3 linked regions of the Canis lupus familiaris genome follow. The protein of the gene in region 3 binds, or shares a complex with, the protein of the main gene of each other region. Links are inferred from orthologs where the notes say so. Each region holds a gene or a part of one and is shown on either strand. Other genes may lie near its edges. The genes, in order: CCDC8, OBSL1 and CUL7.

Region 1 (4,126 bases), on a different chromosome or scaffold from region 3:
TGGAGCATTCTTCAGCTGCCCAGTCCAGAGCCAGGAAATCACGTGGTAAGCATTTTATTTGCATGTCGGCTCGAGCCCCTTTTTTCTTAAGTTCAAGGAGGCGGTCAATGTTAAGTGTGCAGGAGAAAAGAAGAGAAAGGGGGAGGGGAGGAAATTTCTCCCTAGCATCCTGCCCCCGCCAAGCTGAGCACCTAGAGTCGCATTTGAGAAGTTAAAATCATGAGTGATGCAACCCCTTTGTATGGCTCTGTTTCTTTACATTCCTTGGGTGACTAGAAAGAGTCTTTAAAAACAAAAAATCAATGCATGAAAGATAAACTTTTAACAGGAAAGATGGGTGCTGGGTGGAGATGGGAGGACCACTGCCCGACCCTTGTCCACTTGCATTTTCAAGTATGGTGGCAGGAAGGGCATCTCCACCCAAGTGCAGGGGAGGGAGGGCCGAGCCCAGAGTGGTGATGGTATGGCAGGTGGCTGCGAGCCCCAGGGCACCCCTGCCCTCACCTCACAGCTGGTCTTCTCGCTCTCCCTGCTCTGCTTCTGCTCTGGCCTCTGCCCTTAACACTCTAAGGCTCCTGGCCTCGCCTGCCCTGGGGACTCTCTTGGGCAGGGTTGGCAACCGGGGAGTGTGCCAGAAGGCTCTCCGGCGTTTGCGAAACCATGAAAAACGTCCAGGGGTCTGGAACCTCACTGTCTTGACCTGTTTCCGGGCCTTAGCTCCTTGGGTTGTCCCTGTGGCCACCTGGGCAGCTGGGGCTTCTGCCCTTTGGTTATGTGCCGCTTCTGCCCTCTGGTTGGCTATGGCTTCTGCCCCATCGGATGCAGCCTCTGCCCCCTGGACAACTGGGACCTCTGCCCTTTGATTATCTGGAGCCCCTTCCCCCTGACTACTTGCAACTTCTGCCCTCTGGACAGCTATGGCCTCTGCCCCCTGGACAGGTATGGCCTCTACTCTTTGATCATCTGCAGCCTCTGCCCTCTGATTATCTGCAGCCTCTGCCCTCTGATTATCTGCAGCCTCAGCTCTCTGATTATCTGCAGCCTCAGCCCCCTGATCATCTGCAGCCTCAGCCCCCTGATCATCTGCAGCCTCTGCCCTCTGATCATCTGCAGCCTCTGCCCTCTGATTATCTGCAGCCTCAGCCCCCTGATCATCTGCAGCCTCTGCTCTCTGATCATCTACAACCTCTGCCCCCTCCTCTGTGGATGCTGCTTCTTCCCTCCTGTGACGGCGAAAAGAGGCCCAGTTGATTTTGGGCCTCCATCGTCTTGGGGGACTCTCAGGCACCTGCTCAGCTCCTGTGTTGCCCACATTAACCCCCCGGCTGGCTCTGCCCAGTATGGACGCCCCAACCCTCTCCAGCCTGGTAGAGGCCTGCCGGGCCTCGCCCACCTCGGGGCTGGACCTGGGCGCCCAACCCTTCACCCTCCGCTTCAGCTTCCCCCAGGACACCTGGCTGACATACTCTCGCCACCTGTCAGCCTTGGACAGCTGCGGCCTGGGGTTGTCCTCGAACATGGGCACTGGCAGGTTCACCCGGCGGCGGGCAGGTGGCGCGCTGGGCTTCTTCTCCCCTCGCTGCAGGAAGGCCTCCACCAGTTCCTCGTCGTCCTCGCTCTCCAGGTCGCTCCCTAGAAATTTGCTGCCCAGGTAACTGACTGGCATTTTGCGCACCTTCCTGCTGCGCCCTGCACCTTTGTGACCTTTGTCACCCTTGTCACGCTTGTCTCTGGAGGTGTCGAAGTCACTGAACTCGCTGTCGCTGGCATTGCTGCTGTCATAGGTGCCCACGACCAGGCGTGGGGGAGGGGTCACCATCTGCTGGACTCTCCTCCTCCCTCCGGGCTCCTTGGGCTTTCTGGGGGGCTGGGGCGGGTGTGGGGTGCTCTTCTCAATGATGCGGGCCACGTCCTCCAATGTGCGGCCTTCTTCCTCCAGAAACTGGATCAGCCGCTCCCGAAATTCCGCCTCCTTGGTGGCAGGCTTGGAGATGACCCTCCACACGCCTCCGGCCAGCCTGACCTCCCGGGGGATGAGCAAATAGTCGACGTCCTCCCCGATCTGCAGCATCCCCACCGTGGAGTCCTCCTCCCTGCGGAACACCTTGCCAATCTTCTTAAAGGTCCCAACGGGCTTCAAGGCTTCCACGAGGACGTCCAGATCCACATCTTTGCACACATCAGGGACGCTCCAGAGGATCAGGGAGTCGGGGGATGGGAGGAAGCCCCAGGGGAACCAGCCCCCCACGTGGCTTTTCTCGAGGGTCTTTAAGATCTCCAGGGTGAAATCTGGGCTGGGGGCAACGACCCCAAACTACAAATAGGCCTGAGTCTTGGGGGTGGGGGTCCCAGCAGAACTGCCCCCGGGGAGGGTCTCACCTCTGCAGCCAAGGATGAGCCAGCCCCTCCCGACTCCTCTGCCCGCCACAAAGTCCAGTCTTGACCGAGTCCGGCTCCCCGCCCACCACCGAGGACTGGCGGGAATCAATCCCCAGGATGCTTACGTGAGCCCGGGAGAGGCGAGTCCTGGGGCTCGAAGCCCACCGCCAGCTGCAGACGTGGAGTCCCGGCTCCAAGCTAGTGGGGGCGCACGGGCTGCCCCGTGGCTCTTCCTGCCTCGGGACGCGCCCGCAGCTTGGGAGAGGCCTTCGCACACGAAGACGGCTCTTCAATAAGGCCGAGGCGCTTGGGGGCCGCAGCCCGGCCCCCCAGGGTCTCCCGCCCCCGGGCAGGCGGCCACCCCAGTCCCAGGCCGACCTTGACGCGCCCACAGCCTCCCCAGCCCGAGCGCTCAGCGCCGAGGAGCGCGGGCAGGAAGTTCCTCCTCGCTCTCCCCTCGGGGAGGCCCACCTTCCCCTTCTCATCTTACACTCCCGGACTCGGGAAGACTGACAGGGGGGCTGTCCACTCCCTTCGGGGCGCCCTTATTCCCTCCCCCACAGGGGTGTGGCCGCGCTCCGGGCCTCCTTGGGGCCACCGCTCCCGAGGCGGACGCCCCCGCCGGGGCCCACGTCAGCACCTTCCCTGGGGGAAAGGCGGCAGTTCCCTAACCTGCCCTGCTAAAGCCGGGGCTTCCAGCCGAGCCCTGGAGGTGGCGGTGCTCACGGGGCGGTCCTTTGGAAAGCCACCGGCACTGGAGGTGACCACTTCACACCATGTGACCTTGGGTACCAGCCACTGGCACTGGAGGTGACCACTTCACATCATGTGACTTTGGGTACCAAGAGGTCCCTACCTCTTTAGCCATACAGGTTCCGACCTCCTTACAGGTCGGTGGAGAGATTAGTACCAGGATCGTAACTGCGCTAGCCTCTAGCACCAGGCTTGGCACACGGTAGGTGCTCAATAAAGATTGTGGGGGTGAAGGAAGGAACCGAAGTGTTCATCAGGAGGCGCTGGCTTGGTTGTACGGTTCTCGCATTGAAAGACTATGCAGCTCTGTAAAAAGAAGCATCCGGTGAAAAGGAGAGTCAGGTTTTATGGAGCGTCTCCTGCGTCCTTAGACACCATTCTAAGTGCTTTCTGCAGACTAACTCATGAAATCCTCCCTATAACATTATGATACAGGTAATATGATCATTCCCATTTTATTTTATTATTATTTTTTTAATTTTTATTTATTTATGATGGTCACAGAGAGAGAGAGAGAGAGAGAGAGAGAGAGAGAGAGAGAGGCAGAGACACAGGCAGAGGGAGAAGCAGCCTCCATGCACCGGGAGCCTGATGTGGGATTTGATCCCGGGTCTCCAGGATCGCGCCGGGGCCAAAGGCAGGCGCCAAACCGCTGCGCCACCCAGGGATCCCTTATTTTATTTTATTAAAAGATTTTATTTATCTACTTGAGAAAGAGAACAGAGAGAGAAGAGAAGCAGACCCCCTGCTGAGCAGGGAGGGAGAGGTGGGGCTCCATCCCAGGACCCCTGGATCATGACCTGAGCCCAAAGCAGCCGCTTTAGCGTACTGAGCCACCCAGGGGTCCGATCATTCCCATTTATAGCTGAGGATGTAAATATCACCTACTCGGGGTACCTGGGTGGCTCAGGTAGTTAAGTATCTGCCTTTGGCTCAGGTCATGATCCCAGAGTCCTGGGATCGAGTCCCATATTGGGTTCCCTGCCCAGCAGGG
Region 2 (3,522 bases), on a different chromosome or scaffold from region 3:
CACTGGAGTATCCCTCCGGCACCTGACGCCGTCCTGCTGCCCTGTGCCCTGCCCTACGTCGAGAGCCTCGGTCCAGACTGAGTGATTTAGCCCCCCCTTCCCGCACCCCCTGCCTTCCAGATAGTGTAGCCTGGCACACACCAGCCACAACGCCTTTCTGCACACGTTCCACCCTGTAGCGAGGCCCTTCAGGCTCTGGCCAAACATAATGGCAGCTACACACATTTCAGCCCACACTTGGCCTCCCCACAAAACACCAGACTCTTCGCAGGGAAGTTGACACAAGCACCACCTCGGCTTTGGGCCAGGGAGGATCAAGTGTGATGCCAAGCTGAGGTCCCACAGCTGTGCAGACAGCCCAGCCCCAGCCCCACACCCTGTCTCCACCGACTGTGCCCACCGCCTCCCCTCCCCCACCCAGGCAGCCCCGCTCTGCAATCTGCCAGGGAGCCAGCCTGCATCCTCTGGACTCTAGAACAGGCCGTTAGGGAGGTGGGTCGTTAGGGAGGTGGGGCGTGGAGGCCGAGGACTTGAGTGTGTGCTGGCGAGCACGTCAGCCCGCGCGCAAAGAGTGGGGCCGGGAAGCTGGCAGTTCCCGAGCCTCGCCGCCAGGCGGCTGAGCAGTAAAGGCGTCCTAATAGTGTCCTGGAACCTAGAATCTGGGAGACGTCCAGGGTGCGTGGGAGCCCGAGCTACCTTGGGGCCCGGCGCACCAGTCACTTCCAGGCTTGACACAGATCCTTTTTCTGTGGAGGAGTGACCAGTTCTGAGCGGTTGGAAATGAACTCCCAGAATCAGGGTTTAGCGTCCCCGGGGATCTCAGACAGGTGTGGGCAACCCCCCCAGGCCCAGATGCAAACATCGTTACTGGGCTCTGCCGGCCTTGGCTTGCGATCCCTACCACTGCTTGCAGAGTCGGAGCCTCCCTTTCGCAGATGGCAGTTCTTCCTCCTGCCCCAGAGTAGGCGTAGTCTGCTGTGATCTGAAAGAGGTTGGGTGATCACTCCGTGCCTCAGTTTCTACATCTGGAAAACAGGGATAAAACCCTACCTACCTCTCCAGATTGCTGTGAGGGTTCAGTGTGTAAAGCGCTCAGGCCTGTTCTGGAGCCTGTTGGCTGTTACAGATCCAGGGTCTCTTATTCACAGCTCTGACCTAAAAAAACTTCTTAAAAGCAAGACTTTCTGCAAGTTTGGGGTTCAAAGCCATGGCAGTAGGACCTGAGCTTAACTGCTGTGAAACTGGTTCTACTCTTTAATTCTCCTGCTGAGAGCATGTCCATGTGTTACACTGCAGAGAAGTTGGCGGGGTCATTGGTGGGGAGCATGCCCGGGGCAGGGAGGGGTAGGAGGAGCAGGTGATCTAGGATTTGTGATCTACGATTAATGCGCCATCTCTGGGATCTGAAGCGTTCTGGGTCCTATCACAGCCCTGGCCTCAGGGATTTCAGATGGTGATCCTTATCACTTATTACCGTGAGCGACAGGAACTTCGAGCTGCCAGGGAGGCGGGTGGTGAGTTTGTGACAGCTTGTGACCCCACCTCCACCCCACAGAGCCCCCCGTGCGCATCATATACCCCCGGGATGAGGTGACTTTGATCGCCGTGAGCTTGGAGTGCGTGGTACTGACGTGTGAGCTGTCTCGGGAGGATGCCCCCGTGCGCTGGTACAAGGACGGGCTGGAGGTGGAGGAGAGTGAGGCCCTGGTGCTGGAGAGTGACGGGCCACACCGCCGCCTGGTGCTGCCCGCGGCCCAACCGGAGCAAGGGGGCGAGTTCGTGTGTGACGCCGGAGATGACTCTGCCTTCTTCACTGTCACTGTCACAGGTGGGCCGTCTCTGGGCCCCCTGGGGAGCTAGAGACGCAGGAGGCTAAGGGACAGACACCTGACCTCCTCACTTCCTGCATCTTAGGGGCCCCCCATCTGGCCCAGGAAGCCTGCCCTCCCCCAACTTCCTCATTCTCAGCCATCTGAGAGCGCTGGCTTGCCCAGATCAGGCCATGACAGTGACTCGAGGTCTGGTGAGGACAGCCCAGCAGTTAGGAGCATCCATTCATCAAATATGTATTGAGCAACTACTATGTGCTCAGCCCAGTTCTGAATGCTGACAGAGTAGCAAGCCAGTAAGAGCAAAGCTCCAGTTCTCCACTAGAATTCGAGGATTCGAGGACGGACAGACAACTAGTAGGTGATAAGTCCGTCAGAGGCTAATCGGGGACAGGGGGTACGGAGTGGGCATGGCTTAGGGAGGGGTGTGCGTTGGGGTAGGGCTGGGTCTACCTCTTTCTGTCCGTGGGACCTTGGGCAAGCCACTTTCCTCCAAAGAGTCCTCGAGTCCTTATCTGTAAGGTGAAGCCAACATTAGCGCCCTTCTAGGGAATCAGGAATAGCTGTGGAAAGAGCTCAGGGTGCCCAGCACAGCACCTGGCACGCAGTAGGTGCCCATGGATTGGGGCCAGACCCAAGAGCTGCGCTGGGAAGAGAGAGGGCTGAGGAGCCGGGGGCCAGGCAGGTGGAGGCCTGCTGGCTGAGCCTGAGCACCTCTCCCTTCTGTCCGCCAGCCCCGCCAGCAAGGATCGTGCACCCGGCAGCCCGCTCCCTGGACCTGCAGTTCAGGGCTCCGGGGCGCGTGGAGCTGCGCTGCGAGGTGGCCCCTGCTGGGTCCCAGGTGCGCTGGTACAAAGATGGGCTGGAGGTGGAAGCGTCCGACACGCTGCAGCTGGGAGCCAAGGGGCCTGCTCGCACCCTGACCCTGCCCCACGCCCAGCCTGAGGACGCCGGGGAGTACGTGTGCGAGACGCGTGATGAAGCCGTCACCTTCAATGTCAGCCTGGCTGGTGGGTGCCTCCTGCCAGCCTGGGTGCGGGGGATGGGGTAGTGGACCCCAGCCGACAAGCTCCTCTCTCTGTCCAGAGCCCCCAGTCCAGTTCCTTGCCCCAGATGCAGCCCCTACCCCCCTCTGTGTGGCCCCTGGGGAGCCGGTGGTGCTGAGCTGTGAACTGTCCCGGGCTGGCGCCCTCGTCTTCTGGAGCCACAACGGGAGGCCGGTGCAGGAGGGCGAGGGCCTGGAGCTCCGTGCCGAGGGCCCCCGCCGCATCCTCCACATCCCGGCTGCAGACCTGACCCACGCAGGCCTCTACACCTGCCAGTCCGGGTCGGCCCCCGAGGCCCCCAGCCTCAACTTCACCGTCCAAGTGGCTGGTAAGTACGGCCCGGGCAGACAGCCTGAGAGAGTTGTACCCCCAAACCCATACGAGTCTCCCCCGCTTCTCTAGCATGCCTCGTCCATCCCTCACCCACCTCTCAGTATCTTACGTCCCACTCCCTGCTCGCCCCCTGCCCCGTAGCCCTCAGGCCTCTCCCTCCCAGTGACCCCCAGCTCTGACCCCACAGAGCCCCCCGTGCGCATAGTGGCCCCCGAGGCAGCCCAGACGAGGGTTCGCAGCACCCCAGGCGGGGACCTGGAGCTGGTGGTGCACCTCTCAGGGCCGGGGGGCCCCACACGCTGGTACAAGGATGG
Region 3 (4,068 bases):
AGAAGGGAAGTGACGTGCAAATAGCGCTTCACCAGGGAGAAGAGTAGCCTTCCTGGGACCTGTAGGATGCAATCTTTGGCCTACATCCACCTTGTCCCAGCTTTAGCTCCTCTTTCCACACCATCCTTTAAGGGCAGGTAAAAAGGCTTGGTACTTCGGTCTTGTTTATAGCACCCCCCTACCGAAACCTCCCCACAGAATACCTGTGGCAGCTGGATGCCTTCGAAAGACATAGGGTGTTCAGAGAGTGTGGCCTGTGCAAACAAAGCTAGTAGAGCACAGCGGCTGTCAAAATCCAGGTGTTTCTCAATGGCCTCTTGCTGGCTTAGTGACAGAAGGATCTGGGTCCGAGTCCCTGAAACTCACACCCAGTCAGTAACTGCTCACATTGCCCTTCCGGGCATCCCTCCTAGACCCTCTTCTCTCTCAGTCCAATCCCTTTGTCACCCTTTGGGGATGAAATGTTTTGCTAATTAGCTTAAAAAAAACTTACTATCTTTCCTATATTCATATTTCATATACATATATATCCTACAGTAATCAAATACCTTAACTCTTCCTTTGCGTAGAGATTCGATTAATGTGAGATTCTTGAGGATTCAGTCCTTTCTCTTTCTTTTCTAATTTTTTTTAAAGTAAACTCTAGGGATCCACTCTGGGTGGCTCAGTGGTTTAGCACCAGTGGTTTAGCACCTGCCTCAGGCCTAGGGCATGATCCTGGAGACTCAGGATCGACTCCCACATCGGGCTCCCTGCATGGAGCCTGTTTCTCCCTCTACCTATGTCTCTGCCCACCCCTATGAATAAATAAATTAATTAAATAATAAATAAATAAATGTAAACTCTATGCCCCAAAAGGTGAACTTACAACCCTGAGATGAAGAGTTGCATGCTCTTCTGAATGAGCCAGTCAGGCACTCCCTCACCCAACCCACAACCTGTCCCTTCCTCTTCCTACAGAGATGTCCCTATCTACCTTCCTATCTCCTTTTCTTCCAACTCAAAGAGAAGGACAACAGAATTATTCAGGCACTGATGAGGCAGAGGCTCTTGCCACAGTGTCATGTGAGGCCCCAAGCTAACCAGCTTCCCCTTCTTTTCTCCCCACACTGTTCCTCACCAGCATCATGGGAGGCCAGGGCTTGTATCATCCGGCCTGCACTCCAGCGAATCTGATAATCAGGACTACTCAACATGTGCATGAGCAGGTCCAGGACCCTTGGGTCTTTGAATACCCCAGTCAGGGGCTCAATGCTGGCATAGGCGCTGAGTACATGGACAGTGTGAAGTAAAGGAGCAGGAGGGATGGTACCCACACACTCTTCCAGCTGCCGGAGGGCCCTCTGAATTAAAGACTTCACATCAGTTTCCATTTCCCCCAACACAGATTTGTCCAGGGCCCCAGCCTCCCCTGTGATCTCCTGAGAGGGGCCGATGACCTGGCCGTCCTCGCCCAGCATCTTGTGGCAGTTGGCATAGATCTCGTCGTTGGACATCCACAGTAGGATATGCTCAGCCTTGCAGTCCACTTGGCTAGAGCCCCCTTCCCCTTCATCCCCACGCCTGAGGATGAGCCAGCGGATCTGGTACTCAGGATGCCCATCGTGGCCTACCCGCTGGCGGATCAGCTCATCTGGGTAGGCATGCAAGCCAGGTCCCAGAGGCACTCTGAATTCCCTGTAGCGGAGTTCCCCCACCATTCTGGCACCTGAGACACACAAGGAAAAGAGAACAGGCAAGCTAAAATGAGAGTGGGAGTTCAGAAAATCAAGGACGTCCAGGAATTGGGGAAGCAAATGTGGTAACAGCTGTCCAGTTGGCTGGAGTAAAGCAGGGCCCAGGAGTTGCCTGCTGCAGGCTGGGTGGGGCCAGACCTAAGCAGGGGAACACTGGGGTGTTTGTTCTAAGAACACAAAATTTGGTTGAAAGGGGGTTTTGAAGGCCCTGCAAACTGGAGTGGGTTGGTTTGGAGCAGTGGGAAGGGGACAGTGTGGGCAGGGCAACCTTGGAGTTACAAGTGAATCCCAAGGCCCTGGGACAGGCAGCAGCCCTGAGGAGATAAATAAAGCCCGGAGGGGTGTGGGGGTGGGCTATGTGTGTTGGGGAGTGAGACCCTGAGTGCCTGGAAAAGGACATTAGGTCTGATGGTTGAAGCGCAGGAGTGTGTCAAAGAGACAAGAGATCCGGAGAATTGTCGGTGGGTTGGGGTGGGGTGAGGGCAAGGCGCGATGGGCCGGGAGGAGACGCTGGTGGGCAGCAGAGGCGAGGACTGGGGACACTGGAGCAGCAGGGCCGGTGGGGGCGACGGGAGACCCAGGACGGGGTGCACAGGAGACACGGTGGGTGAGCGGCGAGAGGCAGGTGGACCCGAGGAGCTGGGGGCGCGTGGGAAGGTGCAGGGGAGGAGGCTAGACGGGATAAACGAGAACCCCAAGGCACTGTGGAAGTAGGATAGGGGGACGCGAGATCGAGCGGGCGCGGGGCCGGTGGGCGAGTGTGCAGAGGAAAACCCAGGGTAGGGGCAGGGGCCGCGGCGGGGCTCTGGCCACCTCAGAAGTCGATGGGGGTCCCGGCGCGAGGCCTGTCCTTCGCTGAGCTAGGGACGCAGCGCAGACGATGGCGGCGATGCTGGCAGAGGTTTGGGCCCCGCCTGGGCCCCCGAGGGGGTCTAAGCGGAGAGGCGGGAGGCGGCGTGCCTCCGAAGGACGGGCGGGGGCGTGGCGCGCAGAGACCGAGCACCCCCGGGCGGCCACTGTCACCGCCCGCGCGCACAGGTCAGCGGCCGCCGGGGCGAGGCGGGACCGGGCTCAGCCAGCGGCGCCGCCCGCCCAGCTCTGGGGCTCCGCCACCCGCCCGGAGCTGCGGCTCATTTCCGCTGACCCAGCGGAAAGCTGGGGGCCCTAGGAGAGCGCTGGGGCGGAGTCGCCGGTGCCACCTCGGCAACGGGCGGCACCTTTTCCTCTGCGCCGCCCTTTCCTCTTCCTTTCCGTATTCCCTCCTCCCACCGGAAGTGTTCTCTCCAATTCCCGAAGTCAGAACCGAAGAAGACCTTGGAGGTCATTTATTCCTCCTCCTCCCATTATATTTAAAAAAAAACAAAAAAACAAAAAAACCCCCACGAGTCGGGGGTGGGTGGGGTGGCTAGAAAAGAGGGGAAGAGCTCCAGTCTTCGCCGCATAACGTCCTTTCCTTTCTCTTCCATCCTTGTTTGCACCTGTGTTCCCCCACTCCCCCAGGTCTAGTATGTACCATCCTCCCTCCCCAAAAAACAGTAACAGATAAAAATAGGAGCGATTTTATTAGAATTCAGCGATATCAGTTTTGGGCAGCTGCCGAAGGCAGCTTGACATAACTCTTCATGGGAGGCAATGGTCGAATCTTGCGGCCAGCCCAGCCCCCCTTTCGGTGCCATAGCCCGCTGGAAGGCCTCTTGCCCAGCCAGCGGTTCCGCCCAGCCTTGCCGATGACCCGTTTGTTATGATCAACGTTGGATACCCGGCCCACTGTTGCCATGCACGTTTCCAGAACCTGACGGAGAAAGCGGATGGAGGAGAATGCACCACTGGGAAAGAACATGACGTTGATTTCCTGACTCTGGGGAGGCTTCTTACACTCACTGAGAGAAGGGAGAGGACAGGAAAAAACCACAGCATCATCGAACCTGAGTGCAGGTCCTATGGTAATTTGAAAACAAAAGGCACTATTCCCTCTCCCATTATAGTGCCAGCCTGACAGGGCATGCCTGGTCACATGGCAGAAAAGGACACACCTAGCTCAGGGTGGTTCCTAAAACACCTGGGAACTATCCCAGACAAGAAAGGTGCATTCCGATAATTCCTCCTTTGCTGATCCCTCCCACCTATACTCACACACACCTGCATCTGCCTCTTGGATGGCAGCTGGATGATGGCTGTCCCATTCACTTTCCGAAGCAGCACACCACATGTCCCTGGGGAAGAGGGAAGCCACTTTGCTGTCTTCCACAAACGAGGAGGCGGGGGAAAATTTACAGGGCGACATAGCCCATACCCTGACCTTGCTTTGCCCTTTAGGAACAGATACCCTGAA

Evidence for each region.
Region 1: CUL7 (region 3) and CCDC8 share a complex: the UniProt entries of both Homo sapiens proteins name them as parts of the 3M complex. The link is inferred for Canis lupus familiaris from reciprocal best matches to the Homo sapiens genes CUL7 and CCDC8.
Region 2: CUL7 (region 3) and OBSL1 share a complex: the UniProt entries of both Homo sapiens proteins name them as parts of the 3M complex. The link is inferred for Canis lupus familiaris from reciprocal best matches to the Homo sapiens genes CUL7 and OBSL1.

Annotation. Positions count from the first base shown.
Region 1 is NC_049222.1:110,057,533-110,061,658, forward strand, and holds the start of CCDC8 (coiled-coil domain-containing protein 8), read right to left. Parts: upstream 2,814-4,126; 5' UTR 2,072-2,813; coding exon 506-2,071; 3' UTR 1-505. UniProt on the Homo sapiens protein: Core component of the 3M complex, a complex required to regulate microtubule dynamics and genome integrity. It is unclear how the 3M complex regulates microtubules, it could act by controlling the level of a microtubule stabilizer.
Region 2 is NC_049258.1:25,941,693-25,945,214, reverse strand, and holds part of OBSL1 (obscurin-like protein 1), read left to right. Parts: intron 1-1,555; coding exon 1,556-1,828; intron 1,829-2,563; coding exon 2,564-2,839; intron 2,840-2,915; coding exon 2,916-3,203; intron 3,204-3,395; coding exon 3,396-3,522. UniProt on the Homo sapiens protein: Core component of the 3M complex, a complex required to regulate microtubule dynamics and genome integrity. It is unclear how the 3M complex regulates microtubules, it could act by controlling the level of a microtubule stabilizer.
Region 3 is NC_049233.1:11,759,622-11,763,689, forward strand, and holds the start of CUL7 (cullin-7), read right to left. Parts: upstream 2,801-4,068; 5' UTR 2,550-2,800; intron 1,709-2,549; 5' UTR 1,701-1,708; coding exon 1,121-1,700; intron 356-1,120; coding exon 204-355; intron 60-203; coding exon 1-59. Other genes in the region: MRPL2 (39S ribosomal protein L2, mitochondrial), read right to left, coding at 3,316-3,528, 3,876-4,063. UniProt on the Homo sapiens protein: Core component of the 3M and Cul7-RING(FBXW8) complexes, which mediate the ubiquitination and subsequent proteasomal degradation of target proteins. Core component of the 3M complex, a complex required to regulate microtubule dynamics and genome integrity.